Lepisosteus oculatus: one gene and its partners. Each later gene encodes a partner of the first gene's protein in a complex. Links are inferred from orthologs where the notes say so. Each region holds a gene or a part of one and is shown on either strand. Other genes may lie near its edges.

Region 1 (7,406 bases):
AGGGGGCTTTTCTGATTTTCCAGATACTAATGGTTGTTGACATCTCTGCAAATACAGTATACAGTGTACAGGTCTGCTCTCAGTATCCATCACCTGCCGACTCAAGAACCGAACAGCTGAAAGATCTTTGAAAAGTCTTTAAGCCAAATCTATTTATGCTTGACATAACATATGCATTTACACACGCGTTTCTGTTACGTTCTTAAAATAAAACTGTCCAATGTATATTTTGAAATACATGTCTGCAATGCTTTTAAATAACCAATAACATTATAAGATGTGGAATAATAACAAATGAAAATTAAACTTTGTGATTTAGATATCAAGATAGGCATATGTAGAAGAAATAATGTCATACCATGACATTAAAATGAAATTGAAATGAGTAAACAATATTTTCTTCAAAATAAGTATTTTACAGAGTTAATTGTGAAAGAATGCAAACACACTTTAAATTTCAGAGAAGCTCTAAGAATGTAAATTTTGCACAATTGTTCCACTGAAGCAATTGGACAGTTCTAATCCTCGTCTCACTGCTCTTATATTCTTGGACAAATACTGTAGCTAATGGGCAAAGTGTCAGACAATAAGTTCCTGAAAGATTTCAGTCATTTATAGCTATTGATCCACCATAAAACAAAACTTACTTTCAGCTGGAGAAGTAAACAAATGTTCTTCTTGTGTTTTACTAATTCCACGATGCCTTTGAATGAATTGGTGTTCATTAGAATCCCAGAGATGTTCCAGAACCTAATAATATTTCTGGAACAATCCAAATGAATCATCCCTACCTGCATTACAGCGAGAGAGGAGAGTATTTGCTCTGTGTGCATGTACACTGGGATTTGTGTTTGCGCTGTTCTCTTGGAACGTGCACAGTAAAATAGACAACACTTTCACACAATGTGAACAGTACATTACAAAACAGTAATAGTACCACAAAGCACAACATACAATGGGTAGTGCAGAACAATAAACACACAGGACAATAAACACATGATAGCCAAGTAGTAGCAGTTCTCTTTATATAGGGCTTGTCATACTTTACAGGCCCAGTTAGAGGCTGGGCCTGAAGGAGTGGTCTACACAGAGAGGCTGAAAGAAATGAAACGATTTTGTCTTGAACACAGGCGACTACAAAGTGTTTAAAATCTTCAAAGGCACAGGCCAAGACAGCCCACTGAACTTCTCGAGAAACAGCAGTGAAACCGCAACCAGAGCACACAACTGGAAACTACAAGGACAAGGAAGTCCTGTACATGTGCACCCCCTGATTACAGGAGGGGCCTCTTAGACACAAGGGGTAGTAGTGGGTGTCTAGAACTTCGTAACCGAAGCCGATACGTTGAGATCTTGAGATCATCGAATCAATTAGCTGTTAACTGCCAAACATAATAATAATTGCTTACACTTATATAGCACTTTTCTGGACACTCCACTCAAAATGCTTGACAGGTAATGGGGATCCCCTCCACCACCATTGTGCAGCCCCACCTGGATGATGTGACGGCAGCCATTGTGCACCAGTACACTCCCCACACACCAGTTATCCTCCCAGGCAGAGTAGAGGGATGAAACAACTTCATACATGGGGATTAATGTTAATGTTTTTTTTAATGTTTCTTTATTAGCCCTATACAATTTCTTGCATTAGGAATTCGTCTTTTCGCATACCCCAGCTTTTCTCCATGGAGACACAGACACACAGACAGGGAGAGAAGCTTGGGGTCAGAGCGCAGGGTCTGCCATTGTACGGCGCCCCTGGAGCAGTTGGGGTTAAGGGCCTTGCTCAGGGGCCCAACGGAGTAGGATTCTGATTCCTCTGCCGGCCGCGGGATTTGAACCGGCAACCTTCCAGTCACAGGCGCAGATCCTGAGCCACAGAGCCACCTCTCCGCCCATTATGTGGAGGCCATGCTGGGGGAATTTGGCCAGGACGCCGGGGTTACACCCCTACTCTTTTCGAGAAACACCCTGGGATTTTTAATGACCACAGAGAGCCAGGACCTCGGTTTTACGTCTCATCCGAAGGACAGTGCCTTTTTACAGTATAGTGTCCCCGTCACTATACTGGGGCATTAGGACCCACATGGACTGCAGGGTGAGCGCCCCCTGCTGGCCTCACTAACACCTCTTCCAGCAGCAACCTTAGTTTTTCTGAGCGAGTTGCAGGGTGATGTGCCCAGGCTGTTAAACCTGAAGGCAGCTTTACCAGTAACACTGTGTTCCTGTTTATCATGCTAACACGTATTGACAAAATTTCTCTTTTGTCTCAGCCAACGGCTTTGCCTCAACAGGTCGTGTTTTGAAAATATGGCGCTACTGCTGTTGCCCGTGTCAACAACCCATCCTGGTTTGGCCCAGGAAACTGGTTTTATCCTCCTCTGCAGGTGTCTTGTTCCCTTGCCCCCTTCTGATCACTGAGACTAGTCACCTCAGCCAGGCAGGAACGGCAATTAACCTTCCCGCGTCAGCAGAACCCAGCGGGCTCGGAATCAAAATGACTCAGGAGCCTGAGCTGCGCTCGTTATTATATTTCACAGCTTTTGGCTGGGTGGTGGAAACACGCGCGATTCAATCGTGCAACGTGCGCGGGACTTCTGCTGTTGTCGGTTTTGCTCGTCGGGTAGGTAGTAGTTAGAGAGCAGTCCCGGGGAGAGCGGGAGAGGACGTAACCCGGCAGAACAAAAGAGGCATCTTTAACCCGGGGATGACGTCACCTTCGTTCTACTGACAACTATGATGTATGCGCGGCGGCTGTGAGCAACTCCCCGTGCTTCCGTTTCGTGGAAGAAAAAAGAGATTTATATATATATATCGCTAAACCTACAGCAGGCCCTGCGTTTAAAGCGTGATGAGAAACGCAGCGGGCGTCCAGCTTCCTTGTTAGGCAAAAGTGTGTTCTCTTGTTATGACACGGTCGACCCGAGACACGGTTTGAAGCGTTCAGCGGAGGGGGGTGGACGGAACAGCACGCAGGCAGGGACTGAGAAAATGCTCTAAAAACTAGGAATGTTGCCGATTATAAAGGAGGGATGGAAACGCGTTTTATTTTTAAGTTGACGCGTTTCGCCACGGCTTTTCCTGCCGCACGGTTCCCAGCCGTAGTCTGTCGTTTCTTGGCAATGCAACGTCCCCGACTAAAGTGTTCCTAACTGTTTAAAGTTACTGGTTATTCTGTGTACATATTAAAGCTGAGATCCTGTGATTGCGTGTGATACTGCCTGACTCTTCAGAGCTGCAGAAAAATGAATTGAGCCTGGGGGAAAGGAGACAGGGAATACGTGGACTGGAGCTCCGAGCACGGAGCACGGATCCCCCAGCCGAGGGATCGTGGACAGCAGGAGTCGGGCGGTCGCGGTTACAGTGTCATAAGGTTTAGTTTGAATGCCGAATTTGACCAAATACGCTTGCTATTGTGACGAAAGCATTTCATTTAAGTGTAAAATTAAATTGTAGTTTGTAGGTCGTTATTTTAAAACGCATATTAATGTAACTGCTTCAAGGAGACATACACTTCACACTTAGTAGCAACTTGGTACCAAAAGTCATTAAAGTACTGTAAACTGCATGTATGCCAAACACTACAAAACTATAGGGATGATGTTGTGTATGTACTTTACTACGGTAACCTTTTGAATAGCGGCCTATTTACGTACTCTCTTCTGCAACACCCTGATATTCTCGAGATAATGGAGTTCAAAAAGTGCAATAATAATAATAAAGATATTGTTCATTTTACACTCTGCTTCCTACTCGACTGAGAGGCTGTTAAAAGCACAGAAACCAGTCTTTGAGGGGTCTTTTGTGTGGTCTGGAGATGAACAGCACACACACACACTCAGAGGAAAACTGGAAATGTGTAAATATACCTTTAAAAGCCGGTTCATCGTCGTGTTGCTCTTTGTGGTTGAGAAAGGCAACTATGAAAAACCCCTCTGCCTCTGGCTAACATTCTGTAGGAGGAATACTTCAAAACATATCAAAATCACAATTTTCAATGAAGATTTTAAAGAGTTTCAAATCAAGACTCAAAACCTTTTTTAGAAGGACTTTTACTTAAACCGGGTCTGTTATGTACCTCTTTGCTCCTACTGTAACCCCATATACTACCTCTTCTCCTTTGCACACTCGTGCTTATATTTCATGTTTTTTTTTAATTTTGTTTTGTTGTTGCACAGTGAGGCGCTTTGAGAAGCCGCTTTTAAAGGTGCCAAATAAAAATAAAGTTTATTTATATATATGATTTAACCAGCAACGTGTATGGGGGGGGGGCGTTTGTTGTTAATACCCCACAACATGATCGAACCGACTTCCCCCGGCCGTTTTGGAGAAAAAAAAACATCCTTGATTTTACTCCGTAAAGAGTAAATCTGCGTCAAACACGTCCCAGGCTTGCGCGTACACCGCTGGCTGGTCAACGTGGGATTTGCCAGCCCGGTGGGTGAGGCTAGAAATCCAGTCCGCGTTTTCCACGCGAATCGCAAGAAAGAGCAGGATAATAGTTGCAAGAGCCCTCTCTCTCTCTTGTGCCATGCTGGGCGAGAGAGACACAGGGAGACATGCATTTACCCATATCCGGGTTAGAGAGGAAAGGAAGAAAAGTTTCATTTAAAACCTGGACAAAAACTTTCAACATGAAATCACACCGCGGGAGCAGGCAGAGCCAGTGAGACAGTATCGTTTCCGAGTACAGCCAGAACTTTACGGTTTGCGGGATATTCGTTCATTTGAGCACTTCTCTCTTGTTTTTTTCTCCTTTTTTTCCTCCTTCTGTGTGTTTTTTTTCTTTTTTTTCTCCCTCTTTTTTTTTCGGTCTAAGCCTGTTTGGATTACTGCCTGAAATGTTGAAATGATCATGGCCGCGCAAGTGACAACATCTCCGGCGACGACTGGTAGTAAAAATCCCAATTTATCCGGCGGTCTGAATCAGGATTTAAACTCTGGGAAATCGGGAGGGGGAACGGTACAGGGATCGGGAGCAATTCTGGGAGTTGGAGATGGAACTAACACTATGAATAATGTAGATCACCACCACCACCACCACCACCATAACGAGCTGAGCATGGCCAATACAACTTCTTCTTCTGCAAATAACACTTCGGACTTGCGAGAGAAGGAGGGCGTCAATAGTGCTGCATCTTTATCTTCTTCAAATTCGGCTACTTCTTCGAGCATGGAGACGGGTTTGATAGCGAATCACAAACTGAAAAATGTTGGTGGCGGAGATCCCCCTCCTCCGTCTCACCATCACACACCGACACAGCCCCAGCCACCACGATTCAGTCAGTTCCAGCAGCTCCATTCACACCAAATCCAAAACAACAACATCAACAACAACAGCAACAGCGGCGGCGGCAACCAGGCGCAGGTACCGGGGGAAGCGGAGAATCGGCAACATGGAGGGAAAGAGCATATTTTGGGAAACCAGGTCGGGCAGCAGCAGCCGCTGCTGAATAAAAGTGAAGAGGAGGGCCGTGCCTGCAAATCGGGGGATCAGATGGGCAGCAGGTACGAGCACGCCAACTTGGGACCAGCGAACAACAACAACAGCAGCAGCAACAGCAACAACAGCAGCCAGCCCCAAAGTGCTGGGGGGACGACTAGCACTGTTCCCGAGTTTAATAATTATTATGGCAACGCTAGAGGAGGCCCTTGCTTTGATCAACATGGCGGACAACAAAGCCCTGGGATGGGGATAATGCATCCTTCGGCTCCCAACAGCATGGATTCCGTTCAAAACTCCCACGAAGGGTACCACAACAGCCAGTACAACCACTACCCGAGCTACCGACCGGGCTACGGCGGCGCAGGCTATGGGATCATGAGCTCTCCCAGGCAGGGGAGTCACACGCTGATGGGCCCAGGCAGCAACAGCCACAGCAGCGCTGCTGGCCATGGCAAGATTGCTATGGCTGCTGCCTCGGCTCCTGGGGGCAGCGTGGGGGGGTTTCAGAGGTTCCCCGGGCAGAGCCAGCACCCGTCCGGGGCCACCCCGACTCTCAACCAGCTCCTGACGTCCCCCAGCCCCATGATGCGGGGCTTCAGCGGCGGCGGCTACCCCGAGTACAGTGGCCCCGCCGCGCCGCCACAGCAGCAGGCGAGCGTGGGGCTGGGCAAAGACGCGAGTTCCCAGTACGGGTCCACAGCCCACGGCTGGGGAGGACATCAGAGAAATCACCCTGTCATGAGTCCTGGCAACACTGGACAAGTTATCAGTAGACCTCAGGTAAATGTTTCTCGGTTTTGTACGGCGTGCTCTCGGGAAGCTCATGCTGAAGGTCTGTGTTTATCGTCTGGTTGTAGTTGCAAAACCTAGTGGGTTCGTCATGTCTGACTTTTTTTTAACGTGCTGAGCGCACATTTTTTTCTCCGTGTAACTAAATCAAATGGCTGTTTTCCTCTCTTCCCCTCCTTTTTCTTTTTTTTTTGGGGGGGTGTTGTTGTTGCTTTATTTCGTACCGGCTTGGCTGCTGCTACTGTTGTTGTTGGCGGTGTTTTTTCTTTAAAATATCTGGATTTATTCGCGTCCACCCCTCTCTCCTGTGATGTCGACTGTTATTAGATTTTAAAGTTAGGACGGGGGCTGGAAGTTCTGTCCAAGGTGACTTACGTGATCGCAAATGCACAAAAGATCTTCATAATAATCAGGTATTTGAACGTAAACGCACCCGTGTCTTACGTTATATTACTGTTTACATATATTTTACAGCTTTTTTCCCCCGTCCTTCTTTCGTTTGATCCTCGTGGAGGATTACGAATCGTCCCCAGGAACATTCTCGTCCGCCGCTTAAACTTATAAAGTATTATAAATGTGGCGTGATGAATATTCATAAATCGGATGTGTCCTTCTTGTATAATATTTTTAAGTACATTTCACTCGCCTGCGACTGGGAAATTATATGATATTTAAGAGATCGGCCGTCACTCTTTGAATCTCAGGCCCGTCCTGTGGCGAGTTGTGTACTAACGTGCGTTTTACATACGTGTATATTGGGAGAGGGGGGGGGATAAAAACACACACACACAACGAGGATTTCGCTCATTATAATAGGCTTGCTTTTCTTTAATCAACTTGCCGTTAACGGCGTACGGGGCCGTCTTTTAAAGCGACGTTAAATGGGCAGCGCGCAGGGCCGGGCGGTCGGTGGGTGGCGGGCCGAGCCCCGGCATCGCCGTAGTAAAATTTTCGCGGATCGATAACGTCGATCAAGTCAATAACGACTGTGGCCTCTCGGGTGGAGGACCCCCCCCCAGAAAAACAACAAATAAACAGAAGAAAGGCAGGCGGGCTGTATCAGACGCGGGCGACCTGCGCTCTCCGCCGGCGTGAACCCCGGCGCGGTGCGGGGAGCTGCCGACGAGCGCCCGGCGGGCCGGCCGCGCTTGCGAGCGACTTGATCTCC
Region 2 (7,718 bases), on another chromosome or scaffold:
AGCATCGACAGCGCCGGCGTCATTAGCGTGACCGCTGTAGGAGCAGGCCTGGATCAGTACTGCAGTGTCTCAGTATCCGTACATATCAGCTTCAGTGTATTACCAGTACCTGATCATGTCAATTTCGGTGTGTACCAGTTTCTGTACATACTAGTCTCCATGTGTATTACTATCATATTTCAAATCTCGACATAGTTTCAGTATATATAGATCAGTACCAGTATTATCAGTATCTGTACATATAATTTTCAGTATAGATAAGTATACGTATGTATCATTTTCAGTTCAAAGCATATTAGTATGATTATGTATTGATATATAATTAATATTTTATATATTAATTGTATATTAATATGTAATGATATTATATATTGAGTAGGACACATCAGTGCAGACTGCAGGAGCGACACTCGGAAAGAGTGTTTTCCCCGGCTGGCCACTAGGGGGAGCCCCCCTGTGGTTCGAAGGTACATGGCTCCTATTGATGAAGCTGCAGTGGGGTCGTGGGCAGGCGGCATCACGCACTCATGCCGTTCTTCAGCGGGGACACCAGCTCCACCCCGGGGCGGGCCACGTGCAAGGCGTTGGTGTCGATGTAGAACGTGCGTCCTGACGACTTCTCCTTGTCCGCCCCCAGCTCCGCGCCCCCTTCCTCCTGGGCCAGCACTCCCAGGGAGGTGGGGAAATCCGCCTGGGCAGAAGGAGAGAGGGAGGGGGGGGTGAGGTGAGGCCAGCGCGAGAGACAGAGAGGGGGAGGGGGTGAAGGGGACAGTGGGTACGAGGTGAACGGCAGTGCTGCTGGAGGAGGGCCAGCGAGGCAGCTTGACCACTGCAGCGCAGTGGGGCTGGGACCTCACATGGCAAGAGGCCATGGGGAACGCCCTGCTGGCGACGTGGACAAGTCAGGCTCACGCCAGGGCCCGCCGTGCGGGGCTGTAACAGCGTCCAGACAGAGCCCAGCCCTGAGGTGCCCCCTGGCGTGCACTCTTGTGAACCACTTTTCTCATAGTCCCAGTTCTACACGGATCACGATGCACTGCTCGGGGGGGGGGCGGTTTTTCACTGCGTGCTGGAAGGGGCTGACTGGCACTGGAAAACCAGCAAGTGTTCAGCTTATCCTCCGGGCAGGAATGGCCAGGGCGGAGAGAGGGGTGAGCGGGCAGGAGCCGCGCGGTACCTTCGGGCAGTCCTCGCCAGCGTAGCCCGCCCTGGTGGAGAACGAGCCGATGTCAAACACCAGAGCCCCGACCTCATCTGGGGAGGGAGAGACAGGGAGAGGGAGTGAGACAGGGGCACTCCTGGAGACAGGGAGAGGGAGAGACGGGCAGAGAGGGAGTGAGACAGGGGCACACCTGGAGACAGGGAGAGGGAGAGACAGGCAGAGGGAGAGAGAGACAGGGGCTCACCTGGAGACAGGGAGAGAGAGTGAGACAGGCAGAGGGAGAGAGAGACACCCCTCTCTCAGCTGCAGGTAAGGAGGTGTGGCTGCTGAGCTCTCTGTCTCGCTGGGACCAAGTGGTCCTCGAACCCTGAACCCTGACAGGAATCAGCCCCATGCTCAGCTCCAGACGATCCTGCCTGAACCTGAACCCGGGGACCCCAGCCTGCTGGGTGAGTGTTCCCACTCGTCACTGGTCCTCTGCAGTTTAGCCCAGTTGGACATGACTGGAGCAACAGTCACAGGCTGGGCAAGGGACAGCGGGAGTTGGGTTGCTCAATAGCCATTCTTTCCCCAAGTCATCCGGATGATTTGGAGGGATTCCAGGGAATCTCCTTCAACAACAACAACAACAGCGCTGGGGCTGCTGTTCCACACCCTCACCAGCCTTTGTGTAAGGATGTGCTCCCTGTTCTCAGGCTTGTCTACACATCCTGGTGGGGCTGCACATTGGTGGTGGTGGAGGGGAGTCCCCATTACCTGTAAAGCGCTTTGAGTGGAGTGTCCAGAAAAGCGCTATATAAGTGTAAGCAATTATTAATTATTATTACACATCCGGTTGTGCCGTCGTGTTCCTGACATAGAACAATGTTCTGGGTTCAGGCTGTCAGCAACTGACAGTTGAATTCCTGAACAGCCCCACCTCATAGTCCCCTACAGCGCTGCAGACCACTGAAGAGACTCCGTTCCTTTAACGCATCTGCGGCCGACATTCCCCAATCCCGACACCGTTTCCCCACACGCGCGTGTCGGGATGGACTTGACCCCACGGAACCGTGGCTTTTCCTGCGATGGGAGGTCACCCACGCGGGTCCCCATCCCCTCGCGGGTCCCCCTGTGTCGCCGCACGCTGCCCCGCTCGCCCCCGGACCCGGCGACACAGACCCCGCCACTGGCGGAGACCCCGCTGACAGCAGCGCCACGCACACGGACACAGTGGACAGGCAGTGGAACAAAGACACGGCCGTGGGCACGGGTACGGGTGAAGGCGCAGGCAGCCGCGAGCACCGCTCTGGACCACAGACACCGATGCGGACACGGATGTAAACACGGGCACGGAGGCAGACGCGTTCAGCAGTATATCATCCTGCTGCTCAGCCTCTCGAGTCTGCATTCCGGTGTCGCGATACACGCCAAGTGTCGCACGACATGGACGCGGCGAAGCTCGCGTCCGCCCGCTCGCTCTCTCCCACACCCCCTGTCTCGCTCACGGGGGGGGGGGGGGGTTTATCTCCCAGCCTCGGTCCTCAGGTGTCACCCGTCTCGGAAACGGGTTTTTGCGCGCAGACGAAACGGTCGCTCCTTACCTCCTCCGTACACTCCGCCGCTCATACCGGCGCCTAGACCCACCCCCCCACAAAACGAGCTGTCACATCAATTAAACAGAAACCTGAAAAAAAGAGACAGGAGGTCAGGACAGCTCGGATTTGATCAGATATCCCTAATGCGTAACTGTCGGGTGAAATTACAAAGATCTGTCTGTACAGGAAGGATTTGGGGACGGGGGTCTGTGGATGACAACTGTGCAGAATAAGGCGAAGCTGGACGGCTGAGGCTCGCGCCCCCCCCTCACGCACGAGCACACTCGCTCTTTCTCCCGCTGTTGTTCTTCCTCAGCCCACCAATCACAGCGCCGTGTGGACGCACGCCATTGGGTGGCAAGAAGAAATGGGTGGGCGGACAGGCTGTACCTTAAAGGTTCTGGTCTCCAAGGCAACGAGAAGAATTAATTTCCCCCGACTTCAATTTGCCCGTATTATAACAGGACTGTTCTCCTGTACTGGGACTGTAGCCCCTATTGTAACAGGACTGTTCTACTGCACTGGGACTGTAGCTCCTATTGTAACAGGACTGTTCTCCTGTACTGGGACTGTAGCCCCTATTGTAACAGGACTGTTCTACTGCACTGGGACTGTAGCTCCTATTGTAACAGGACTGTTCTCCTGTACTGGGACTGTAGCTCCTATTGTAACAGGACTGTTCTCCTGCACTGGGACTGTAGCTCCTATTGTAACAGGACTGTCCTCCTGCACTGGGACTGTAGCTCCTATTGTAACAGGACTGTTCTCCTGTACTGGGACTGTAGCTCCTATTGTAACAGGACTGTCCTCCTGTATTGGGACTGTAGTCTCTATTGTAACAGGACTGTTCTCCTGTACTGGGACTGTAGCTCCTATTGTAACAGGACTGTTCTCTTGTACTGGGACTGTAGCTCATATTGTAACGGGACTGTTCTCCTGCACTGGGACTGTAGCTCCTATTGTAACAGGACTGTTCTCCTGTACTGGGACTGTAGCCCCTATTGTAACGGGACTGTTCTCCTGTACTGGGACTGTAGCTCCTATTGTAACGGGACTGTTCTCCTGTACTGGGACTGTAGCTCCTATTGTAACAGGACTGTTCTCCTGTACTGGGACTGTAGCCCCTATTGTAACAGGACTGTTCTACTGCACTGGGACTGTAGCCCTTATTGTGACAGGACTGTTTTCCTGTACTGGGACTGTAGCTCCTATTGTAACAGGACTGTTCTCCTGTACTGGGACTGTAGCTCCTATTGTAACAGGACTGTTCTCCTGCACTGGGACTGTAGCTCCTATTGTAACAGGACTGTCCTCCTGTATTGGGACTGTAGCCTCTATTGTAACAGGACTGTTCTCCTGTACTGGGACTGTAGCTCCTATTGTAACAGGACTGTTCTCTTGTACTGGGACTGTAGCTCATATTGTAACGGGACTGTTCTCCTGCACTGGGACTGTAGCTCCTATTGTAACAGGACTGTTCTCCTGTACTGGGACTGTAGCTCCTATTGTAACGGGACTGTTCTCCTGTACTGGGACTGTAGCTCCTATTGTAACAGGACTGTTCTCCTGTACTGGGACTGTAGCTCCTATTGTAACGGGAGTGTTCTCCTGTACTGGGACTGTAGCCTCTATTGTAACAGGACTGTTCTCCTGTACTGGGACTGTAGCTCCTATTGTAACAGGACTGTTCTCTTGTACTGGGACTGTAGCTCATATTGTAACGGGACTGTTCTCCTGCACTGGGACTGTAGCTCCTATTGTAACAGGACTGTTCTCCTGTACTGGGACTGTAGCCCCTATTGTAACGGGACTGTTCTCCTGTACTGGGACTGTAGCTCCTATTGTAACGGGACTGTTCTCCTGTACTGGGACTGTAGCTCCTATTGTAACGGGAGTGTTCTCCTGTACTGGGACTGTAGCCCCTATTGTAACAGGACTGTTCTCCTGTACTGGGACTGTAGCCCCTATTGTAACAGGACTGTTCTCCTGTACTGGGACTGTAGCCCCTATGTAACGGGACTGTTCTCCTGTACTGGGACTGTAGCCCCTATTGTAATGGGAGTGTTCTCCTGTACTGGGACTGTAGCCCTTATTGTGACAGGACTGTTCTCCTGTACTGGGACTGTAGCTCCTATTGTAACAGGACTGTTGTCCTGTACTGGGACTGTAGCCTCTATTGTAACGGGACTGTTCTCCTGTACTGGGACTGTAGCCCCTATTGTAACGGGACTGTTCTCCTGTACTGGGACTGTAGCCCCTATGTAACGGGACTGTTCTCCTGTACTGGGACTGTAGCTCCTATTGTAACAGGACTGTTCTCCTGTATTGGGACTGTAGCTCCTATTGTAACAGGACTGTTATCCTGTACTGGACTGTAGCTCCTATTGTAACAGGACTGTTCTCCTGTACTGGGACTGTAGCCCCTATTGTAACAGGACTGTTCTCCTGTACTGGGACTGTAGCTCCTATTGTGACAGGACTGTTCTCCTGTACTGGGACTGTAGCCCCATGATGGGCTCAGAGTAAGTTTGGTTTATCATCGCGTGGTTCATTGGCACATTCTACGTCGATAGCCGCATTCCGTCCCCTCAGTGGTCATCTCTGCCTCTGATTGGACAATTCCCCCTGTCAGTCTGGAACAATGCGGTCGTGGTGGGCGTGTCCTGGCAGACTCCGAGAGGAGGCGGACAAGGAGGAAAAGGGAAGAGGGGGGCGGTGTGGAGCAGAGGGGGAGCCGCGAACACTTAACCCCTGCGGCGCCGGAGGCAGGTGACGCGGTGGGTGTTTTTTTTTTCCGGTCCCGCTCCAGAGGAGACGGGGAGGAGGAGAAGGAGGGGGGGAATCGGTCACTCTTGTCCTGGGGTGGACGGTCCCGGGAAAGGCCCCCTGTGTGTGAGAGAGGGAGAGAGGCACGGGCGCGGATCAGGTAAGAGACGCCGGGCGCCGGGCAGCGAGATGACGAGAGGAGCGCAGTCACTCGCGGATCGATACGGGTGCTGCCGCGGTCTCCGTGGGCAGACCTGTCAGTTGCTGCTCACGAGTGGGCGTCCGGCTGGATTGGAAAGTCCGACTGTGTCCGGATCGCGCTCATTATAAGGAGAGCAATTGGGCAGGTGGTTATTTTCGGGTGGGTGTGTATTATTTTCTGCCAGGGTGTCCCAGTCCTGCAGTCCCGTAAATACGCCGCTATTTCATCACCGATTAAAAAGGCGACGCTGTGCTGGAGTGCCCCTCGCCTCCGGCCCGGCCTGACCGGCTGCTTTCTCGCTCCGGGGCATCAGTATCCCTGACGGGCTGGGGCAGATCGTGTCTCTGGGTCCCTCCTGCTCCAACTGAGGGTCCAGTGATCGGCAGTGTGTGTGCATGTACAGTATCTGTGTGTCAGTGTGTGTGAATTCTGTGTGTGCATGGTGTCAGTGTGTGTGTGAATCTGTGTATGTGTGCATGGTATCAGTGTGTCAGTGTCTGTGAATCTGTGTGTGTGTGCATGGTATCAGTGTGTCAGTGTGTGTGTGTGAATGTGTGTCAGTGTGTGTGCATGCATCTATGTGTGTGTATGCATGGTATCTGTGTATCAGTGTGTGTTTGAATCTTTGTGTACATGTACAGTGTCCATGTCAGTCTGTGTCACTGTGATCATGTATATATCTGTGTCAGTGTGTATTTATTTGTCATACTTGTCAGTGTATGCATGTATCTGTGTGTGAGTGTTTGTCCCTGTGTCAGTGTGTGTGTGTATCTATTTGTGAGTGTATGCATGTATCTGCGTGTGAGTGTGTGTGTCTCTGTGTCTGTGTTGGTCTCTGTGTCAGTGTGTGTTGATACCCATGTCACTGTGTTAGTGTGGATATCAGTGTCAGTGTGTGTCTGCGTCAGTGTGTGTCTGTGAGTCAGTGTGTGTGCACCTCTCTGTGTCAGTGTGTGTCTGTGAGTCAGTGTGTGTGCACCTCTCTGTGTCAGTGTGTGTCTGTGTCAGTGTGACGGGAGGCAGATGTCTCACAGAGTGCACACAATGGGTTGTTCTCTGTCTTTCCTGTAGGGGGCAGGGTGAGGAGCAGTGGTTGACAAGGCTGTCTGACCCTTTATCGAAGGGCCACAGCTTTGGAAACGGGTGAGGTGGGATGGGGTGAATTGGAAATCGATTATAGCGCCCCCTGCAGAGAAGGAATCCTGCATATTTCTGGAAGGCTGCTCTGTGATACCTCTTCCTTCTCTTTTGTGCTCTGGACATTATGCTCTCTGTATACGCGAGGCTGTGTAGACTGAGAGAGAGGTGTATTGGAATTTGTGTTTCTGTGTCATTGTGTGTTACCATGTCTGTAAGTGCATCGGTGCTTGCATTTGTGTATCTGTGCACTTGTGTATGTCTGTGCGTGTGCATGTCTGTGGGCTTGAGTGTGTGTGTGTGTTGGACTGATTCTCTCTCCTTCCATCAGCCTCTGCCCATCCATCCAGCCTAGAACCATCGCTAAGGCTGTTGCTAAGCAACCCAGCCTCCGTTACTACACTCCCTAATGAGGCAGCCTGGAGAACTTGGCAGGTGGGCCATACCATTACTGAACAGGCAGGGGGGGGGGGAGGGGGGAGGAGTGTGCTGCTTCTGAAAATATAGGAGCTACCTCCCGTCTGCAGTTGCACATGGTCTTCTCATCCCTTCCCAGCCCCCCTCAACTGAAGAGGAGAGGCGATGGTTCATGGAGCCATGCACACAAAGAGGCAGGTCATATACAGCAGTGGTCATGAAGCCCCCCCCCCGTATCAGAAATGCAGCGGCTCGCCGTCTGAGTTAGTAGGTCCTGTGTGTCGAACTGCACTGGCGTGGCAGTGATGCCTCCTCTGAGTTTACTGAACGCTCACTCATGCCAGCCGGCTGCAGCTGAGCGCTCCAGTGGGATATAGAGGCCTGTGTGCCTCTTTCTGTGTGTGATGATCCATTGATATAAAGTTGCTGACGGACATTTGGGAGGAATGACAGCAGC
Region 3 (7,583 bases), on another chromosome or scaffold:
CTACAGTACATTAACACTGCACTGAGAGAGAGGGGTTAATACAGACATACTGACTGGACACTACAGTACATTAACACTGCACTGAGAGAGAGGGGTTAATACAGACATACTGACTGGACACTACAGTACATTAACACTGCACTGAGAGAGAGGGGTTAATACAGACACACTGACTGGACACTGCAGTACACTAACAGTATTTATTGTTGTAGTCTTCTTATTTATTGTTATTGTCATCCTGTAAAGCGCTTTGAGAAGCCACCTTTAAAGGCGCTATATAAAATAAAGTTTATTATTATATTATTATTACACTGAGAGAGGAGTTAATCAAGACATACTGACTGGACACTACAGTACATTAACGCTGCACTGAGAGAGAGGGGTTAATACAGACACACTGACTGGACACTACAGTACACTAACACTGCACTGAGAGAGAGGGGTTAATACAGACACACTGACTGGACACTACAGTACATTAACACTGCACTGAGAGAGAGGGGTTAATACAGACACACTGACTGGACACTACAGTACATTAACACTGCACTGAGAGAGAGGGGTTAATACAGACACACTGACTGACTGGACACTACAGTACACTAACACTGCACTGAGAGAGAGGGGTTAATACAGACACACTGACTGGACACTACAGTACACTAACACTGCACTGAGAGAGAGGGGTTAATACAGACACACTGACTGACTGGACACTCCAGTACATTAACACTGCACTGAGAGAGAGGGGTTAATCAAGACATACTGACTGGACACTACAGTACATTAACACTGCACTGAGAGAGAGGGGTTAATACAGACACACTGACTGGACACTACAGTACATTAACACTGCACTGAGAGAGAGGGGTTAATACAGACATACTGACTGGACACTACAGTACATTAACACTGCACTGAGAGAGAGGGGTTAATACAGACATACTGACTGGACACTACAGTACATTAACACTGCACTGAGAGAGAGGGGTTAATACAGACATACTGACTGGACACTACAGTACATTAACACTGCACTGAGAGAGAGGGGTTAATACAGACACACTGACTGGACACTGCAGTACACTAACAGTATTTATTGTTGTAGTCTTCTTATTTATTGTTATTGTCATCCTGTAAAGCGCTTTGAGAAGCCACCTTTAAAGGCGCTATATAAAATAAAGTTTATTATTATATTATTATTACACTGAGAGAGGAGTTAATCAAGACATACTGACTGGACACTACAGTACATTAACGCTGCACTGAGAGAGAGGGGTTAATACAGACACACTGACTGGACACTACAGTACACTAACACTGCACTGAGAGAGAGGGGTTAATACAGACACACTGACTGACTGGACACTACAGTACATTAACACTGCACTGAGAGAGAGGGGTTAATACAGACACACTGACTGGACACTACAGTACATTAACACTGCACTGAGAGAGAGGGGTTAATACAGACACACTGACTGACTGGACACTACAGTACACTAACACTGCACTGAGAGAGAGGGGTTAATACAGACACACTGACTGGACACTACAGTACACTAACACTGCACTGAGAGAGAGGGGTTAATACAGACATACTGACTGGACACTACAGTACACTAACACTGCACTGAGAGAGAGGGGTTAATACAGACACACTGACTGGACACTCCAGTACATTAACACTGCACTGAGAGAGAGGGGTTAATCAAGACATACTGACTGGACACTACAGTACACTAACACTGCACTGAGAGAGAGGGGTTAATACAGACACACTGACTGGACACTACAGTACACTAACACTGCACTGAGAGAGAGGGGTTAATACAGACACACTGACTGACTGGACACTACAGTACATTAACACTGCACTGAGAGAGAGGGGTTAATACAGACACACTGACTGCGTAAAGCAATACGCAGCACTATACAGTACATCACCCTAAAGTGTCATACAATGGAATACTTCAAAAATACTCTAGTATGTTAACGGACACTGTAGTTTAGCACATTACTACACAGTACAGTTACAGTACAGAGACACTGACTGAACACTACAGCACATCCAGGATCAATCTTCAATATCAGTCAGTCAGTGTGCAGGAGGTTGCACTGTATAGTAGAGTACAGCACTGACCTCTCGTGCGTTTCTCCACTTTGCGCCGCGCGTGAATCACTTCACGCAGCACACACGCGCTGCGATAGGACAGCACATCTGGCCGCTCGGCAGCCTCGCGCTCCGAGCCGGGGGCTGAGTGGGGCTGGGCGCTGTTCGCGTGGGAGGGGGCGCGCGCGCGCGCGCGCGTGTGTGTGTCTGTCTGTGACAGCGCTGAGGTTTTGTCGCGCAACATCGAAACGCGAAACTCCCGCACCACACGACCCCGCAGTGTTGACGGGGCGAGGGGAGGAGGCCACGGCTGTCAGAGCCGTTATCTCAGAACACGCACGGCTCCCCCCGCCGCCGTGCAGTACCGCTGGCTACACGCCAGGGGCTGCCAGATGTTAACAGCTGGCGAGAATCTCCGCCTGCCAGTTAAATTGCGAAAACAGACAAAATCAAGGAATGACACGCACGCAAACACACTAAACACACGCCGCGGCTCAAACGCGACAGGTTGCCCCCTGCTGTGCACTGCGATTCGTTCCGCGCGCCCGAACCGGCAGCCCGAGGGGTCGCACCCCTGCAGCCGGGATGACGGGGAGAATAACATCGGGGTCTCTTTTGTTTTCTGGGCGGCTCTCATTGTGTCTCGGCTGAATCGCTCAGCCGGATTCAAGAATTCCCCCCGCCTCACCCAGCCCCCTGGTCTCCGGAGCTCTTTTTCAAAAAACACCCAGACATGGCATTGAAAAAGGGGGGAAAATGAAGAGGTACCTTTTTGTAATTCTTGCCCAACCAAATGCGGACATTGTCGAACTGCGAAACCGTATCGGACGCCTCGAAATATTTAACATTCGGGCCGCCGTCTTTCTTCCGCACCGCCATCTTTGCTGGGTCGCCTGTAGACAGAACAGGGGGAGGGGGATCGGGCGCCACCTGGCGGCTGCTCGGCGGCGCTGCGGGTTTGCGGCCAGCCGCGTCCAGGGAGAGGAGGTCGAGGCGAAACTGGCGCCATCTTGGCTCCGGTACCGCGGCCAGACCCCCACAGTGAAAAAGGAAGGAGTTAGATCCAACATGGCGCATCCTGCCGCGCAGTTTCTCACATAAATCGTCTCTCCTCGTGAAATACCGTCTTTATTAATTCGTCATAGAGGATTTTATCATAGGCAAAAAAAAAATGATTGCTGGTGTCATAAACAGAACGAGGAGGAAAGACGAGCTTTTTAGCACTAAATATTTATTTTTTTTGCCATGTGTAAGTGAGTGTGTGACAGACGTGCAGTTTTAAGGTCAGAAAAGGACAGTCTTCATTTAAATAATTGACTGAACATGATTGACTGTGGGTACACAACAGTGAAAAATACAATAGTCCCCCTTGAATGCAGAAGAGCAGTAACAGAACTATTAAGGATGAAGTAATATGTTATCAGGGACAATAATGGACAATAGACAGCACCAGGGAAATAGCTGATGTGCCAAGATAAGGTCAGATCACTTTATTGGGCATGTACAGTTTCTTGCATTAGGAATTTGTCTTTTCACAGACCCCAGCTTGCTCTCCCTGAGACACACAGACAGGGAGAGAAGCTGGGGGTCAGAGCGCAGGGTCAGCCATTTACACAGCACCCCTGGAACAGCTGGGGTTAAGGGGCTTGCTCAGGGGCCCAACGGAGTAGGATTTCTCTGCCAGCTGCAGGATTTGAACCAGCAACAGGCGCAGATGCTTAGCCACAGAGCCACTGCTCTGCCCAAAACTTGTGCCGTAAGCTGTTATGGGACCCGAATCATCTAGACAGAACATCTATCGACATCTGCTGCACCGATGGGCTCCTAAAGGAGGAAGCCTGCCTCAGTAACACAGTGAGGAAGCACACAGTTGTATTCAGTTCTGTCAGCACAGGGTGACACGCTGGGGCACTGGTCAGCATTGCTGCCCACTGGCACTGGGGTCCAGGGTCGAATTCCAGACCTGGGGTGCTGTCTGTGTGGAGTCTGCATGTTTCCTTCGTGTTCCTGTAGGTTTCCTCCAGCTGCTCCAGTTTCCTCCCGCAGTCCAAAGCCATGCTGGTGGCTTGTGTCATGGCTGGCCCTGCTGTGAGTGTGTATGTCTGTGATGGACTGGCGTCCCGTCCAGGGTGTACCCTGCCTCATGAAGTGGGTAGAAAGCGGATGGGTGTCTTTGTCCAGAAGAGGCAGAAGTGTTTTTTAGTACTAGAATGACGAAAGATGAATAAATCCCCATGACTCAGTGGTATTGTACCGATTTCACTGAAGGAAATGAGAAATGTGGTTCAGAAGCCGCTGACACAACTCTTCGGACGCTCACTCAAGGGAGGGGTCGCACCCAGGCACTGGAGAGCTGCCAATATAGCACCCCTCTTTAAGAAGGGTGACTGAACCCTGTAGGTAAATATGGACCGATAAGTCTGACCTCTATTACCTACAAGATATAGAAGAAGGTAACAGACCCAAAGTAAAGGTTCGCCTGCAGTATGTGGTAATAATACCCATGGGAATAGACAACAGGACTTAGACCAGGGAGGCCTTGCGTGACTAAGTTGTTACAGTTCTCTGATCAAGCAACAGCAGAACTGGATACGCACAGAGCTTAGGAAAGAGTGTATTTAGACTTTCAGAAGGCTTTCGATTAAGTTCCATCATTAAATATTAATTTCCAGATTAGGGCATCAGGCTTTCAGGGAAATGTGTGTCTGGATTTGGAACTGGTTTACTAATAGAAAGCACAGATTACAGATGAGGGGTTTATGCCCAGACCTTGGTAGTGTCTTTAGTGGAATGTGACCAATTCCAAATGGGAGGACATCCACGCACCTGGTCCGTGTGGCAATTATTAGCTCATTGATATGAGGATCTCATCCGGCTGTTTCTTGAAAGAACCCAGGGAATCAGCTTCAACCACATGGCTGGGTAGCTTGTTCCACACTCCCACAACCCTTTGTGTAGAGCGTATGGAACAAGCTGTCCAGCCATGTTGTTGACCCTAATTTCCCGGCTTCTTTCAGGAAGCAGCTGGATGATGACTTCCTCAGATCAATTGGCTACTCACTGCCTAACGGGCCAGAGGGGCTGAGGGGCTCTTCTTTGTAACAGGTCTTGTTCACTTCTCTTCTTCAGAGATAATAATAATTGCTTACACTTATATAGCGCTTTTCTAGACACTCCACTCAAAGCACTTTACAGGTAATGGGGATCCCCTCCACCACCACCAGTGTGCAGCCATAGTGCGCCAGAACGCTCACCACACATCAACTATCAGTGGGGAGGAGAGCAGAGTAATTAAGCCAATTTATAGAGGGGGATTATTAGGAGGCCATGATTAGTAAGGGCCAATTGGAAATTTGGCCAGGACACCGGGGTTACACCCCTACTCTTTTCGAGAAGCGCCCTGGGATTTTTAATGACCACAGAGAGTCAGGACCTTGGTTTTACGTCTCATCCGAAGGACGGCGCCTGTTTACAGTATAGTGTCCCCGTCACTATACTGGGGCATTAGGACCCACATAGACTGCAGGGTGAGCGCCCCCTGCTGGCCCCACTAACACCTCTTCCAGCAGCAACCTTAGTTTTTCCCAGGAGGTCTCCATCCAGGTACTGACCAGGCTCACACCTGCTGAGCTTCAGTGGGCTGCCAGTTGTGAGTTGCAGGGTGATATGGCTGCTGGCCATATATATATACAAATAAAAATATACATACAAATAAAAATAAGTAATCAATAGTTATATAGTGTTTTTGTGGACACTCCATTCAAAAAGCTGTACAGGTAATGGGGACTCCCCTCCACCAACACCAGTGTGCAGCCCCACCTGGATGATGAGACAGCAGCCATAGTGCGCCAGTATGCTCATCACACACCAGCTCTCAGTGGGGGGGGAGAACAGAGTGATGGAGCCAGTTCAGAGATGGGGATTATTAGGAGGCCATGATTGGTAAAGGACAGGGGGAAATTTGGCCACGACATGGGGGTGCAGGGGGGATTGGGGTGGAATGGTGGCTCTGTGGCTAAGGGTCTGTGCCTGTGGCTGAAACGCAGTGCGCTGACACCCGGAGGCTGTGGCAGGGATTACAGTCAATCACAGGCTACAAGGGCTGCAGCCAGGAGATTGACACGAACAACGCATCCCTGCCTGACGAGCTGAACCATTTCTATGCCCGCTTTGATGCTCTGAACATGGGCAATGCTGAGAAGACCCCAAGTGTGCAGGGCAAGTTTGTTCTGAAACTCTCAGAGCAGGACGTGCAGAAGACTCTGAGCAGGGTGAAAATCCATAAGGCTGCAGGGCCTGATGGGATACCACCTCGCGTCCTGAGGACATGTGCAGCCCAGCTGACCACAGTGTTTACGGACATCTTTAACTCCTCCCTGTCACAGTCCATGGTCCCCACCTGCTTTAAAAAAAACACTATTGTTCCAACCCCCAAAAAGGCAAAAGTGACATGCCTGAATGATTACCGCCCAGTAGCATTAACATCTGTGGTGATGAAATGCCTGGAGAAGCTGGTGTTGTCACACTGCAAGGAGTCCCTGGACCCCTTGCAGTTTGCCTACCAAAACAACAGATCAGTGGATGATGCTGTCTCCCTGGCTCTGCATACAGCCTTGGAACACCTGGACATTAAGAACTCGTGTGTGAGAATGCTGTTTGTGGATTACAGTTAAGCATTCAATTCCATCATACCCAGTCAACTGGTGACAAAGCTCAGGGGATTAGGTCTGTGCAACTCTGTCTGCAACTGGCTGCTGGACTTTTTTATCGAGAGACCACAGGTGGTGCGGATAGGCTATAAAACATCACCACTCACCCTGAGCACTGGAACCCCACAAGGCTGCTGTCTGAGTCCAAGGTTGTACTCCCTATTTACTCACGACTGCACAGCAAGACACAGCAACAACCGCATCATTAAGTTTGCCAATGACACCACTATAATAGGACTGATCAGTGATGATGACGAGTCCACTTACAGGGATGAAGTTGTACAGCTGCTTAGGTGGTGTCATAGCAATAACCTGGACTTGAACATAAAGAAAACGAAAGAGCTTATAGTGGACTTTCGGAGACACAGGCCATACACTCACAGCCCACTCAGTATTGATGGAACGGAGTGGAAACAGTCACCAGCTTTAGGTTTTTGGGAATTCACATCTCTAAAGATCTAACCTGGACTGTGAACACTGACTCTATCAGGAAGCAACGCCTTTATTTCTTGAGGTGCCAGTCGTGGGGGATGCCAATACATGTGCTGGTGAACTTCTACTGCTGCACCATCGAGAGCATCCTCACCAACGGGATCACCGTGTGGTATGGCAACACCTTTTCTCGAGAGAGAGAGGCACTGGAGAGAATGGTCAATGTGGCCCAGAAGATCATCGGCTGCGGTCTCACCGAGATTAAACAGCTCTATGAGGACCGCTGCCGTGGTAGAATTCTGGCCATCACAGAGGACAGTCACCACCCC
Region 4 (7,819 bases), on another chromosome or scaffold:
ACTTCTCTACCTTATTTAAAAAGACTGCTTGCCTTTATCCACTGTTTACATACTTAAATGTCAAATTGTGTATGTGCACTTTTGAGCTAATCTTATTTTTTTCAAATATCACAAGGAAAACATGATAAATGAATATTTCGGGATTCATGTATACATAAAGAATGAAAATAAAACAAAGGGCTAAAGCACAGACAGTTCACTGTTTGGGCACACCAGGTTACAGAGCCTTAAAAGCAGCCCAATTCATGATTTTCTTGAAACATTGCCTTAAAAAGAGTACTGCCAGAGGAGACTTTAAAGAATGCAAAGAAATGAATTGATAAACTTCAACCCTTTTAATAGATTTTTCAAAAAAGCAGTTGACACCCTTAAGTTATTAAACCTCATTCAAACTTACTCAGTTTTCTCCTTAAAGCTAAAAAAATAATTAACTTCCTAAAAGGATACTTAACCCCCTACTCAAGCACTCAAGCACTAGAAGGAAGACATTATTGATTTGAAAATAGTGACATTTATAAATGAAATGAATTAGCAAAAAGAAGAAAAACTATTTTTACGTTACACACTTTGGATCACATTGGATTAATCTTTCCATAAGAATTCAAACACTTTTCCTTATTATCCTAAGTTATAGTCATAGGTGGAAACGCTAAATTCAATGTCATCTCCTGATACAATACACTATTGTATATATATGGAGGAAATGAGTTCCAAAGAAGAATGACCAGTTATATTCCGGAGCTCATAGGAATGTCCTACCCTCACAGGCTGACAGAAAATAATATTTCTTGACAAAAAAACTACAAGGAAACCTGATTCAAGTACAGTATTTAAAAGTCAACCCAACGGACTCCTCCAGAATCAGTACTAAACAAGACGACACAAGTAGAAACCATGGGGAAGTAAATTTAAAACTGAAATCAGGCTGGACTTTATAACAATAAAGGGCTGTGGGAATATGGAATAAACTACCCAGCCATGTTGTTGAAGTCGATACCCTGGCTTCTTTCAAGAAATTGTTGCATAAAATCCTTGGATCAATCAGCTACTAAAAACCAATGACCTGGGCTGAATGACCTCCTGTCTTTTTATAACAACCATATTCCTTCCTGTATTGAACGTGGGTTTGCCTTCTGTGGTTTAGGCATTTCCACCTAAGAAAGTCAACCAAACAAGCTCTCGTGTCCATTTTTATTAAATTGTTGATTATTGATTTGGGTCTAGATGTGGGCATAATCCCAGCATGTAAATGACAACATTACGAACATATGTGCATCATCACCTTTATACAAATATCATTTTTTCAGGCCCCAGTAAATTATTATACTAGCAAATTCACAAAGTTAGAAAAAACTAAGTATAATTATGTTTTTCCTCGTTTCCTACTTACCTCCACACTCTAACTGGAAATGTAACAGATACATGCATGTTACAATACGCTGAAGTCTGCTTACTTTCATCCTAACTTAAAATGTCACACCTGGATAATAAGCAGCTATCAGCTTCTGCAAAATGATACTTATATCGTATATATTTTTTTACCATTTGAATTACACTTTAACAAAAATTAAAATGAGGAAATGTTGCATTTAAACTCACAGATAACTAACCTTTACACTTAAAAGAAAACAGTAAACAGTCGGAAGCTTGAACTATGCGAGGCGCGACGGTAATGAACATTTTGTTTTCCGATTGACAATATTTGTAGTTTGGCATTTTAAATGTAAGAATCTTTTTTAGTAGAAGCCATTCGCGTTCGAAAAACATATCAGAACCACCACTAGTCACGACTCAAGGCGGTATCTTGCTACAAGTCTCTGAGTTTAGTCAAACTTTCTGAAAAGCACTCTTTAATTTATATGTTCCACAAAAGGGGTAATACTAATAGCAGGCTAACAGCATCTACAAAGTCGTGTCTGGGACAAAGGGTAGCATTTAATTCTTAGGTAATCCCGTTTACCCTTGAAACTAACAATCTGCTCATTTGCTTGATGTCATCTTCATACAGTAAATGCCAACAGTCGATTCAGCAATCTAATCTTTCAACTATCCTCCACCCCCACCAATAACAGCAGTTCACACCTCCAGAGAAAGCGACCTCCTGTTTTCCTGCTCTGTGGGGAATAGATACGAGCAACGCACGCACAGACCAAAAGATAAATTTTAAACCCGAATCTCGTTGTAATGCTATGGTCATACCGAATGGCTTAAGCTTTTCCTGTGACAGAAAAACATTTACTGCTTTGATGTTTAGAATCCGTGAACCATCGTGAAATAATTATGGTAAAATCTGTGAGTTTGCAAGAAACCGGATTATCAAACGGCGTTTAAAAGGAAAGTCTATTGCATAGAGCGTATCAGACTGTTCCGTGAAAACCTAGTTAACAAACTTTTTAAAAAGTACAATCATGCAGCAAAGGACCTGCGGAAATAATCAGCGGTTCTGCACAAAGGTTATATATATTTTAAAAAGAGTTCTGATGAGTCAATATGCTTAATCCTGCAAAAAGACTTTCCTACATGAACAATACGATTTTCGCACGGAAAACAGCTGTCGCGCTTTGCAAGTACAACGAAGAGTGAAAATATTAACTTTTTTATTTTTTGTGTGTACAGTCTGATAAAAACGAAATCGCGATCCGTTTGTATAAATGTCTTATTTCGGCATTTTTTAGAATTCGTTCAACGGCTTTGCAACACGTTCTGCTTATCCCAGCGTGATCATGCTGCACTCTACGTATCGCACCAAAAATAATAATACAAAACTATTTAAATTATTATTTGTCAAGATGTATGGGGAAAAATAACACAAGACAAAACGTACGCGTGCCCTAACAACTGCATTCTGTTGTGAGTTTCTATTTGTGTTGCCTTTCTTTGCACGGTGCTCAAAAACAGAAACAGAAAAGTTCGCAAATTATAACTGTATTAAATTTTGAGAATTACTTACGCTTTGAGTGGATTCTGAATGACAGTCGCCATTTTGCTACACTGTAACCCAATATTCTGTGTCTCAGAGTTCTGAGGGAACCCTACGAAAAAAACGTCCAATCAGCGCCAACGTGTCCGACTCACTGGCCAATCCGAAATAAGAAATTCAAGATAAGGCGTGGCCTACGAGAATAACTGTCAAGTCCATTCGAAGGGGGTGCGCTCTTTTGTACATTAGACCAACTGGATACCTCATCTCTTAAAGAGACAAAGCAAAAACTATCCTCGTATTGTTAACTTGAGTCCCTACTAAATCAAATAAAAGTACTAATTATCTTATCACCCATACTCAGTTTGAGGGGACGAGGGGTTGTTGCTTTGTTTCGTACCCGTTATTCCTTTTATCTTCATTAAAATACATTTAATGGCTAAAACAAACTAATTGTTTCCAATTCCATCACTGGATGATAAAGCTCTTTTCGTGTGCTTCTTTCCTAGCAGCTATTAGAAGCAGCGAATAAATCTATTATTCGTATTTGACGTCCCTGGATATTTATGCAACACAAATGTTCAGCATTTTCAAGTCAACAATACAAAATTCATTTAACTCACAGCATTGGTCATTTCTGTTTTTATGTAAAAGCTGAGTGTCTACATTTCTATGAGAAAGAGGCATATTGTAGTTCGTAAAAGATTTGCAACTCGGGTCAGCAGATCAATAACACTGGGGACAAAAGTTACAATTACAAAGCAATAACGACGTACCAGCCGCAAAGCTATTGACTCAAAACGCAACTGTGAGTGCGGAGGCGGGGAGTTGTTAAAATGTTGTACAAAAATAAAATAAAAAATACAGTGTGAGAAAGCATAACGGCAAAACTGCCTTCAAGCATTAAATTCAGTTCATGAAGTCACAGAGAACACCGACTTCAATTAAATATTACACTAATACACGTGTTCCTTTTTCAGTGTCGTGTTTTACCTTTTTAATGATCGGTTATTAACATCCTTTGTTTACCTTAATTCTCAAATAGCACAGAACCTGTTTCATGCGAGCCAACAGTACTACCACATTACAATACTGGACACACTTCTGTGCTCAGAGCAAAACAGCAAAGCCGCCAGTGTAATTGATACGCAGGGAAGTCAATCACGTGCTCCAGGACGCCACGCAGCGTCAGAGATGGACCAATAGGAGACGAAAGGCGGGGCTGGCGAACATCACGTGGTTGCAGCGTTGTGGCAGGTAAAACAGGAAAAGCGAATGTTGCTGTCTTTTAAATATTTTTTTATTAATGTTATTTGGTAATTTTAAAGTTCTGATCAATGGACTTTACTTTGTTTGTTATAGTTTGGACAACCTTTGAGGGGATTGTATCTTTTTAGATGTGTATTTTAGAGGGGCTTTATGAAAATAGGATCATTGATTAAAATCCTTAAATACAACTGGTAGATACTTCATGATTACGATTGAGATATTCACAATGATTGAAATTTAGTTAAAATATGTAGCTACAGTATGTGAACCACTATAACTGTGCGTTTAATATATTTTAATAAACAACTGCTTATCCTTTCATATTGATTTTGATAGGATTACAGCTGCCCTTTGTTAGTTTTGCTGTAATGGGTATTTTACCTTATTACGATTGGAATTGAGTGTTGTTTTGCACGATACTGGCAACAAAAAATAGAAGTAATTTAAGTGATGTGAAGTGATTGCGGTACGTTTACGTAGTTAAGGGTGTTTTCTGTGAACACATACCAGTGGGACTTCATTTACACACTGTCAGCTCAAAAGGTAAACCTTTACGCCATAAACCTGAAGTGTACTATGTCCGATATCGGTGGCATATGTACCGATTGAAATTTACGTTATTGTGTTATCTTTTATCCTAGAATAGGCTGCCATCACTTATCCATTTATTGTATGATTGTATGAAGCTATTACAGTAGTTGCTCAGATACTTTCATTTGCTTTATAAGGGAATTAGTCAAGAGATACGTCAATTGAGGGAAAATAATTCTCATCTACAAAGAAGAAACGGGACTCAGAATCTCAGAAACAGAATCTCATTTTAAGGGATAGGTACGCGCAAATACACCATGAATTACATGCATATTGATGGTCTTGTCTTTGACGGACTGCTAGCGTTCACTGACGGTCAACGCCATGGATGTTCAGTTCTTTAAACAAAATTACGTTTAATCATAACCGTAGTATTTATTTCAATTATTTTACCAGCACCAGCTGGCTATATGTATTCAGTGATTTACCTGCATATTTCATAATGAAACAATCGAGTTATGAATCCAAACCTTTACCCTACTAATGAGGTTAGAATGTTTTTTAATTATACCGGTCTAAGATTAGAAAACATCAAATCAGTAACAGGGTTTTTGATACAAGTAATGAGCAATTCCCTTTTTTTCTTGAATATTCAGTGTACATTGACTGATTGCACCTTACTGTTTCTTGATGGAGCTAATTTATGTACAGTTATCTTCATCCAATAATTCTTGTTGCTCGATGAATGGAAATATGTAAATATGTTGCAAGAATATATCAGAATTGTGAAATGGTTCAAATTTTAACAGCTTCAGGATGGGCTTTTTGAAAACTCCCAAGATTTCTGCAGCCCGCCACCTGGAGCCTATCCTGTAGGCATAGATGGTATGCTTGGGCCCAGTGGAGAAACCCTGGACAGCACGGCAGTCTTTCAGAGAGCACAGTGACACACGTTAGAGACACCAGTGATTAGTATTGTCACGGGGTGGTGTAAGGAACCTGAAATACCTGGAGAACATCACTGTGAATACAGGGAAAACATGAAAGAGGCACCTTTCAGAAGGTGATGGGAGCGCTAACCGCTATGCTGTTGTCAATCAATCAATCAAAGTTTCTTTATTTAATGCACAACAATACAGCATGCAGCAGTAGTTGCTGGCAATGAAATGTCTTATCTATGAGCTCACCGGGGGGGTAAAAATCACAAAATTAAAGTGACAAAATAAGGTTACATGATGACAGATAATAGTGCGATAGAAATAAACTCAGACAAAACTCTATAAATAGAGCTGCTATGTGTCCAGGGTTTATGCAATATATTATGTCCAAGTAGTGCAGTATGCTGCATACAGTGAAAACTGTATGTCCATGTAGCCATTATGGGTGATTTGCTGAAGGAACTGCAGCTTGGCTGTTTAGCAGTCTTATTGCCTGGAGGTAGAAGCTGTTCCGTAATCTGTTGGACTTTGATGCTTTGATACCGTTTACCGGACGGTAGGAGAGAAAACAGTTTATGACTGGGGTTCTTGAGAATGGACCTGGACTGGAGCAGCTCCCATACCAGGCAGTGATGCAACCAGTCAGGATACTCTCAATAGTGCACCTACTGTATAGAAGCTGGCCTGGATATGTGACAGCATGCCAAACTTCTTTAGCCTGCGGAGAAAGAATAGGCCCTGCCGTGCTATTTTGACCACGGTGTTGGTGTGGTGGGTCCAGGTTAAGTGATGTTAACTCCCAGGAACTTAAAACTGCTGACCCTCTCCACTTCACTTCTATTGATATGAATAGGTATGTGACCTGCTCCCTGATGTTTCCTATAATCCAAGATCCTCTCCTTAGTCTTACTGATGTTCAGAGAGAGGTTGTTCTCCTGGCACCATGCTGCCAGGGTTTCAACCTCCTCCCTGTACACAGACTCTTCACCATCTGTGATCAGGACGATGACTGTTGTATCATCCGCAAACTTAATGATGGAGTTTGAGTTATGCCTGGCGACACAATCATGGGTAAATAAGGAGTAGAGGACAGGGCTAAGCACACAGCCTTGGTGGGCTCCAGTGTTTAGAGTCGTGGTAGAGGATATGTTGGTGCCCACCCTCACCACCTGCGGACTTTCTGTTGAGAAGTCCAGGATCCAGTTACAAGGGGAGGTGTTCATTCTCAGGTCCTGGAGCTTGATGACAAGCTTCAAGGGCACTATGGTATTGAATGCTCAGCTGTAATCAACAAAGAGCATTCTCACATATCTTCCTTTCTTATCCAGGTGTGAGAGGGCAGTATGAAGGGCAGTGGCAATAGCATTCTCTGTTGGACCTGTTCTGGCGATACTCAAATTGTAGTGGGTCTAGAGTGTCAGGCAGTGAGGAGGTGATGTATGCTTTGACCAACTGCTCGAAGCACTTCATGATAACTGATGTGAGTGCAACGGGGTGGTAGTCATTAAGGCAGCTGACTCTGGGTGTCTTAGGGACAGGGACGATGGTGGTTTTCTGAAAGCAGGAAGGAACTGTAGACTGAGCTAGAGAAAGATTGAATATGTCCGAGAAGGCATCTGCCAGCTGCTCTGCACATGCCTTCAGAACACAGCCAGTGATAGCATCAGGGCCAGGGGCCTTGTGTGGATTGGTCTTTTTAAAAACTTTACATACATCCGCTCTGGATATGATCAGTGGGTGTTTGCCCTGGATTTCTGGAGTCCTCCTGGCTGGATCGGCGTTACTGACCTCAAACTGAGCATAGAATGAGTTAAGAATTTAGTTCCTTTTGTGTTTTTTATTTGTCCTTTTGCAAACGTTTAAAAAACTCGCATTATTTTATCACATTATTTTTGGTGTCTTAAAGAGAACAGAGGGCAGCACTGTGGCACAGTAGTTGGCATTGCTCTGCTGCAGCGTTGGGGGCCCTGGGTTTAAACTCCAGCCCTGGGGTGATATCTGCGGGAAGTTTGTGTGCTCCCCCTGTGTTTATATGGGTTTCCTCTGAGTGCTTCGGTTTCTTCTCACACTCTACAAACATACTGCTGGGTTCATTGGCTTCTGATATAATTTGGCCAGATGTGAGCGTGTGTCCGTGTGTGGGCCCTGCGATGGACTGGTG

Evidence for each region.
Region 2: arid1b (region 1) and actl6b share a complex: the UniProt entries of both Homo sapiens proteins name them as parts of the neuron-specific chromatin remodeling complex. The link is inferred for Lepisosteus oculatus from reciprocal best matches to the Homo sapiens genes ARID1B and ACTL6B.
Region 3: arid1b (region 1) and smarcc2 share a complex: the UniProt entries of both Homo sapiens proteins name them as parts of the neuron-specific chromatin remodeling complex. The link is inferred for Lepisosteus oculatus from reciprocal best matches to the Homo sapiens genes ARID1B and SMARCC2.
Region 4: arid1b (region 1) and dpf3 share a complex: the UniProt entries of both Homo sapiens proteins name them as parts of the neuron-specific chromatin remodeling complex. The link is inferred for Lepisosteus oculatus from reciprocal best matches to the Homo sapiens genes ARID1B and DPF3.

What each region holds. Positions count from the first base shown.
Region 1 is NC_090697.1:11,354,863-11,362,268, forward strand, and holds the start of arid1b (AT-rich interactive domain-containing protein 1B), read left to right. Parts: upstream 1-4,385; 5' UTR 4,386-4,852; coding exon 4,853-6,229; intron 6,230-7,406. UniProt on the Homo sapiens protein: Involved in transcriptional activation and repression of select genes by chromatin remodeling (alteration of DNA-nucleosome topology).
Region 2 is NC_090698.1:10,092,545-10,100,262, reverse strand, and holds the start of actl6b (actin-like protein 6B), read right to left. Parts: upstream 3,013-7,718; 5' UTR 2,771-3,012; coding exon 2,746-2,770; intron 1,255-2,745; coding exon 1,178-1,254; intron 692-1,177; coding exon 526-691; intron 1-525. UniProt on the Homo sapiens protein: Involved in transcriptional activation and repression of select genes by chromatin remodeling (alteration of DNA-nucleosome topology).
Region 3 is NC_090696.1:19,696,008-19,703,590, forward strand, and holds the start of smarcc2 (SWI/SNF complex subunit SMARCC2), read right to left. Parts: upstream 3,004-7,583; 5' UTR 2,993-3,003; coding exon 2,882-2,992; intron 1-2,881. UniProt on the Homo sapiens protein: Involved in transcriptional activation and repression of select genes by chromatin remodeling (alteration of DNA-nucleosome topology).
Region 4 is NC_090703.1:15,138,312-15,146,130, reverse strand, and holds the start of dpf3 (zinc finger protein DPF3), read right to left. Parts: upstream 3,011-7,819; 5' UTR 2,983-3,010; coding exon 2,951-2,982; intron 1-2,950. UniProt on the Homo sapiens protein: Belongs to the neuron-specific chromatin remodeling complex (nBAF complex).